Linked DNA regions of Tribolium castaneum. The protein of the gene in region 2 interacts with the protein of the main gene of each other region in a biochemical or structural test. Links are inferred from orthologs where the notes say so. Each region holds a gene or a part of one and is shown on either strand. Other genes may lie near its edges.

The links.
Region 1: the proteins of ebi (region 2) and sina form a complex in vitro, tested with the Drosophila melanogaster proteins (2 studies listed by BioGRID). The link is inferred for Tribolium castaneum from reciprocal best matches to the Drosophila melanogaster genes ebi and sina.

The regions. Positions count from the first base shown.
Region 1 is NC_087403.1:8,291,872-8,294,555, forward strand, and holds the end of sina (E3 ubiquitin-protein ligase Siah1), read right to left. Parts: intron 1,929-2,684; coding exon 1,672-1,928; intron 1,622-1,671; coding exon 1,441-1,621; 3' UTR 746-1,440; downstream 1-745. UniProt on the Drosophila melanogaster protein: E3 ubiquitin-protein ligase that is required for specification of R7 photoreceptor cell fate in the eye by mediating the ubiquitination and subsequent proteasomal degradation of Tramtrack (ttk).
Region 2 is NC_087398.1:13,091,578-13,096,177, forward strand, and holds the start of ebi (F-box-like/WD repeat-containing protein TBL1XR1), read right to left. Parts: upstream 2,870-4,600; 5' UTR 2,747-2,869; coding exon 2,689-2,746; intron 2,630-2,688; coding exon 2,342-2,629; intron 2,293-2,341; coding exon 2,012-2,292; intron 1-2,011.

The DNA.
Region 1 (2,684 bases), on a different chromosome or scaffold from region 2:
ATTTTAAAAATGTGAGCCAGATTTTTATGCTAAATATTAAGAAAACTGCTCTGTTTTGCAAAATTTCTTTAAAAATGTGATCCAGACGTAAAAGCTGAAACTATGGTAAAAAATAGGAAAGCGACTAAGAAAACTAGGCGTAACAATCTGAGTTAAAAAGTTACACACAGTAGACTACTATTGTACGAGTGCATAAAAATCGATTTCATGTTTAAAACTACCACTTCAGACTAATGAATAATGAAGCTTTAAAGACTAAGGAAAAGGCTGACGACGCTGACACTGCTTGCATTAGAAATTGCTTTTCCCCTGAGAGCTATTTTTTAGCTTACTTTATTCTTTTTCCGAACGACTTGCACAGCATTATCAAAAACGGGCGCATTAGCGTATCCTTCCGAAATTTTTTAACTTTATATTTTTCAAAAAAAAAGTATTTTTAGTTACGAATATTTTTCTCAGCCCTATCAAAGGTTGTTTCACATGGTTTGCATGGCTGCACATGTTTTATGTGACTCAAAGATCGGTTATTGTTACTACTTATTATCTCATCATCACGATAAGATTTTTATTGCGATAAAAATCATTACTCCTTTAGGTACATTTTCCCCTATAGTGTAGGCAACCGTTGATTCTCGTGTAAACTCAACGTAATTGTAAGAGATGGCGCTTTAAAAGTGTGCACCGAGCGCCACACCTCTTCGGTGTTTTACCGAATCGAAGGGCTAGGGTTTGAAATAAACTTCAGTTTTAGAAAGTTAAACAAAATTTATTGCGTATTTTACATTAAGCGAAGCAGAAATAATCGAACATATAAACTACAAGTAGTTGAATAGTCATTAAATAAATAGTGCCCATTATTACAATGTACAAGGACAAATTTATCATCTAACATAACAACTATAACGACTTATGACAACTTAAGCTAAAACCCATAAGCAAACGAATTCCACAAATTGAACACACGTAAATTAATCTTACAAGAGGTGGGTTTTTTACACTAAATATTAGATAACAAAATGTGGAAAGTAATGTACATAAAACCTGCACTAGTTTCAAAACGGTTATAGCAAAGTGGGTATTAGAAGAAATATGTTTATCACAATTTATTAGTTGGGCTGACCTGCAACGTAACACATTCGACCTTACCTTTTGTGTATCACTGTGAGGTAATAAATTATTGGACTACAGTAGTTTTTTGATTAAGTTTATTCGCAACGAAACGAAAAATCCATTAAACACAGCAATATGTAAGTATATATCATAAAACAATGCCATTTCGAAGCAGTTGATCAAAAAAGTAAACTCAAAGTAAAGTCTCAAAACAAAATCTTGTCACACAAACTAAACGAACAAAAGTTTTAAATGAACAATAATGTATAGGATATGTATATATTAACTTTACATGCTAATTAATCATCGAAAAATAATCGAACTGAAGGCTCAACATACTAGAGAAATGGTAACATTAATACCCAAATTTCCGTTGTCAGCAAAGTGTTGGGCTATAGAATTATCAAACGCTAAACAATCGGAGGCCATAATGGCCGAAGCGACCCCCTCATGGCTGGACCTCGGCATGGCTTCCCAGATCAGACGTCGCCTGTTTCCGTTAAGCTCCAGTCTAAATAAAAAAACACTGTGAATACTAAAGAACAAAACGCTGGGACTGACCTATAGGCGAAATGTTCGGCCTGTTTGCGCGAGCCGATCAACTGAACGATTGCAAAGAATTGGGTATGACCATCATTCTTCTCTTGTTTTTCCAACACTAGCATAAAATGATGACCGAAACAACTCTGCATCATCACCCAATCGACAGCACCGGCCAAGTTGATCTCAGTGGCCAGGAAAACGATGTCCTCGCCGTTGAGCGTTGTTATGTTTTTATGGGAATGTTGCAGATGTACCATTACTTTATCTAACTGACCCTGCGCCCCAAACATTTTTTTACTACGCACTGCCACGTGCACCCACACCGAGGCAAAAGTCACTCTTAAAAAGGTGCACACCTTGTTAATGTCACGAATGTGTCTAGTTGACGAGTAATCCAAAATTACGTCAGTTCCGAGATTATTATTACCACTGATAAGTATAAATATATTTTATTTAAGTTAATTTGACTAAAACCTTGCACATGATGCTATGAACGCTCCGGAACTCCTAAAGCCCTTAGCGCCGATTTATCCACCAGTTTATATGAAAACGCTTGTTTTCGGCAATTTCTTGCTAAAAAACGCGAAAATTGATCGTGAAAGACTGAAATCAGCTTATTTTGACCGAAAACGCTTATATGAATTGGTCTTAGACGATCCCGTGCTAAAAAACCCAAAACTCACTGAAGATTTTAAAGAATTTTAGAGCCGACTGCGAAAAAATGTAATATATACATAATATTATTGAACCTCCTTACCGTCTATATCAGTTTTTTAATGTAAAACACTGAAATTCATTAAAAAATCAAAACTTGTAGTTTGACAATACCGTGTATTATTTCCTAGGAAATCGAAACTATAATTATTAATTAGATTTCAAAAATAATTCATTTTATTGTTGATCAAATTCTATGCGATCAGGATTGTTCGACAATGACTAACACGTATCATTTATTTAAAATTCCATATTTATATCAATAACTTCAATATCTACATAGATTTTTTTTCTATATGTAAGCATTTCTATCTACA
Region 2 (4,600 bases):
TCCGGGCGTTTTTGGAAACGCAAATATTTCTTAAAAATAAGCCGAAAAAAAACAAATGGTGCGGTTATTGCTTGTCTACAGTGTAAGGGCACGTTTTTAAACTCAAAACTTAGTTTTTCACAAAATTTCGCTGAACTGGTCGTTTGAACACATTTTTTACATGAAAATTTCGTAAAATATTGTTAAAAAATATCAAAAAAACGCAGAATTGTATTAAAAATGAAGCACTTTTTGAAGGTCAAGCCTTGGTTTAAGCAGATTTTTGAGATAAAATACCACATTTTTCATCCAGCAGATATGCATTCACTTTGTGAACTTTAATATTATTTCCTGAATTAAGTACGGCAATATTATTTGAAATAATTGAACTATTTTGATGGAAAAGTATGCAAACTGATCCAAGGAATCGATTAGCGTCGAGCAAATTGTAAAATTTATAACAGTTTTCAAGTTCAAAACATAAGCCGTTGATTTTGTTGGAATGTAAATATGAGAAGTAAATTCAAAATTACCAACAATCATTGTGAGACAAAGCACGAAAAGTTTTTGTGTGGAAAAGAAATTTTATCATTACATAAGAAAGTTAATTATGCAATTTAAAAAAATGTAATAACAATATTTTAATAGGTACAGGAGTTTCTTTTCGTCCACTTCCTAGTGTAATTTGGCGTAATTCACTAGTGCAAGTCGCTGTTTAAACAATTTTGCCCGTTTGAAGTGTGACTTACTCCTGTGAAATTTTATTAGTTTGCACTAGGGAATGAACGCTAAGAAACTACACGATGTTTATGTGTTTTTTCTGTAGAACAACTTCAATAAATACAACATAGATATTTTTTTACCACATGAAATGTAAATCAATTTATAAATTAATTAATTTACCAATGTAAAGGCAAAAGGGGTTCATTAAATAAAATAAGCAACCAAAAGTTTTGTTTAACGAAACATTTTTAAGATTTGTTTTTGACGATTAAACCAAATTGATTTTTTGTGCATTTTAGCGAATGATCTGTTTTTAATGTAAAATCAAAACCTTGTTTCCTATTTTAGGAAAATAAATATTTTGAAAATAAAGCAATAAGTTGAGTGTTTGTCTTTTTGAGCGTTTTATCGCATCAAAAACGCAATTATATCAAGAAATTTCTCGAAAATAAGCCAACAAATTATAAAACGGTGTGTGTAAAAAAAACTTAGTTCCGCGTAATTTCGGTAAACCAAACATTTAACTATACTTTTGAGATGAAATGCCATTATTTCGGAAAATTTCGTAAAAGATTATGCAAAATAATACTGTGTGGAGCAATGTTTGAATGTTTAAACACATTTTTGGAATAAAATTAACACATTTTCATCCAGAAACGTAATCACTTTGCAAACTTATTTTTGTTTTCTCAATTAAGGCAGAAATATAAAAAATATATTTAAAAATTAAGTAAATTAATGACCTATGTAAAATGATTCGGGGAATCGATTAATTATTATCAATATTTCCGTATTTTCAAAAACTATTAGCCTATGACAACAATTTTTTCAAAAAGATAGAGAACACAAAAGATTTCCAATGGTAATAAACTAATAAATAAATATAAATAAATAATAAATGTTCTGGGTACCAGAAATCGACCAAAAATCTTGACAAAAATAGAAAAAAATCAAACAACTTAAAATCGAATCTATTAACTTTTTGCACTTTTAAGAAATGTAGAGGGTTCTAAAGACCTAGAAAAATGCATAAAGCGCCCTTGGATTAAGTTTGAGGAACTTTGGATCGCAAAAATGTTTCAAATGACGCAAAATCACGCGCTAAACACGATACTGGCGTTTAAAATGGTCTAGGAAAAGTTTTCGCAAAAGTCATTTGAAAATTTCGCGAGAAATCGGGCCTTAAGTGGTGTTTAAAGTAAAAACGCAGTTTTACGAAAGTCGGGAATTTTTGAGTTTTTTTAAGGAACGAAAGATCAATAAAAAAACTTGCATATTTTGGCCATAAGAAGGAAAACAAAGCACATACATTCCAGTCTAGTGAAGTAACATCCTTGTTGCTTGGCACTTCAGTGCCCCCCTTCTGGATGCAGTGCCTCAGTACTAATTGATTGGGGCTTGCTGTGTTATCAGACATGTCCCAAATTCTGGCTGTGCTGTCCCCAGAGCCACTTGCTAACAAATCAGTAGTGGGATTCCACGCACAAATGAAAACCTCTGACTCATGCCCCCTCAAAACTGTAGCTTTGGAAGTTGGAATCTCGATAGATGTGTCTACTTCCATGTTTTCATTCTGTGTTGACACTACAGCTACAATTTAAGTTAGAAAAGTTGTGGTATAACAATAATTAGTAACTACCTTCTTCGCCATTTGTATCAGTAATTTCCGATTTGATCGGCTGTTTTTGTGCATTCTGCTGATTTTGGCGACTCGCCACCACATCAGGCATCACAGCATCGATTAAACTTAAGCTCTCCACTAATCTCTGTTCCAGTCCATCCTCTCCTATACTGATTTCAGCTTCAGTGTATTGCAAACCTTTCTGTAAAATACTGAGAAGTGCGGCGGGCGGTACAAGAGCCCCATTGATGTTTGATCGGGAAATATGCGACTCAATACCGAAAGTATAAGCAGAATGTTGAAAACCTGCAAAATGACAACAATCAAGCCAAGAAATGTGGTTATGTCGGCCACAGCCTACTCACCCGACTCTTGCAAGTACCGATAAACAAGGAAATTCACTTCGTCGCTGGAAAAACTCATCGTGGTAATATTGTTCAGGCAATATTACAGTTTTTCACGGAAAATTCGGTAAATGACGCCACCAAAACATAAAGTTTGTGCTTTTGAAACACACACGGCAACGCCGCACGTCACTGACCTCGCAGTGGTGGCAACAGTGAAGCATAAATTCCCAAATTCAAACTAAAGCGCAATCAATTTCTGTGAAATCGTCCAAAAAGTGCTATTTTACGGACTACTTTAGACACAAAATTGTCTTTAATGTACTACTGTTTTTGTTGAATTTTTATAAAAATGGTACAAAAATTGTTGTTTACATCTGTAAAGTTGGTTGCATAATAGTTATATGGTTCAAAAATAAAACCAAAAAAATTTAATTTTTTTAATAATTGGGTAAAGTCCCCTGGTATTGAAAAAATCTTAACTGTAAAATTCATTACCGCCTTTAAAATAAAGATATAAAAAATACGTAATTCCAAACTAAAGATTAAAATGTGTAGAAAAGTTTCGAAAGTGCGTATAAATTTTTCCTCACCGTTTTTATTTATTGAGTGCAAAAATTATAATTACTGGACGCCGGAACCACCGTTATTGGACAGGTATTTGCATGACCAAAATAGAAGTGAAATTAAAATTAATTCCTATTAAATTTTCAACAAAGTTTAAAATCTAATGTAATGCTTAATTAATTATTCACGTGATATAAATCATCTCGATCATGAACACACAATTTGTTTTTCATCATTTTTTTCACTTTGTATTTGGGTTCTTTATCACTTTTTTCTCTTCTTTTTCGTTAGTTTTATTTTTCTGTTTCTGTTTCTTCCTCATCTTTATATATTAACTTATCCAGTTAATATTCACTATTGTCATCCCTATAACAGAGATACCATATGCACAAGTTTTGTTTTTTATCATCGGTAATACGAGTATGTTCCTTGTGATTTCTGGGAACATAAGGGTTGTTCATTCACACATGTATTTCTTTTAGGCAAGACAAGCAAATAATTATAGATTACTCTTGTTTGGTTTTCTTAAATTTTCTCTTTCTGTTTCTTTTTCAATTCGTGTTTTTCTTATTAGACTTTCTTATTTTCTATTATCGCGCGATATATTTTTGATGAGATGGCAAATGGTGCCCTTGCCTTTTGTATCTTTTCTATTCTTTCAGAAGCTTTGGGATAGGCTAAGTAATTGTGTATCGGCAATTAAGTAGATTTTTTTTGTTGTATATTGTTGTTGGTCTCTGTATTATTAGTGGCTTTATTTTATTCTTTCATTCTGAAGTACTATGATTTTCGGAGTTTTTTCATTTTATAAGACAATGCTATTTTCTTGGTCATTTGTACACCCCCATTTAATAAATATGTTAGCAAAAAGAAAAAAAAGCACAATAGAATGAGCATATAAGTTCAAAAATTGTCCTAAGCCAAATAGGCGTCCAATAACTAAAAATTGGCAAAATATTTATTTGTAGTTATATGGTATGCTCGCTGTCAGTGTAACGAAATTCAAATAAAAATACATAAAATAGCAAGATACAAACTTACTTTTGCCCTTAGAATTGTTGAAGACTGCGAAAATAGTTATTAATGATACGAGTGCAAAAACACTCGCCTACGCTCGTTGCATAACGACAGTTTTCGACCTTTAAGCATTTTTGCATAAGTGTTATTCAAACTTTATTGTTATTTCAAAATTTAAGATTCAGATACTAAAAAGAAGGCTTTAAATGTTATCAAACAATAGTTATTAATAATACGTGGACGTATGCGAGTTGCATAGCTAGACACCCGAGAACTTTACGCGTTTACGTATGAGTGTTATTCACATTTTTTTTGTTCAAACATTTTAATTAAAACACGTTGCAATGGG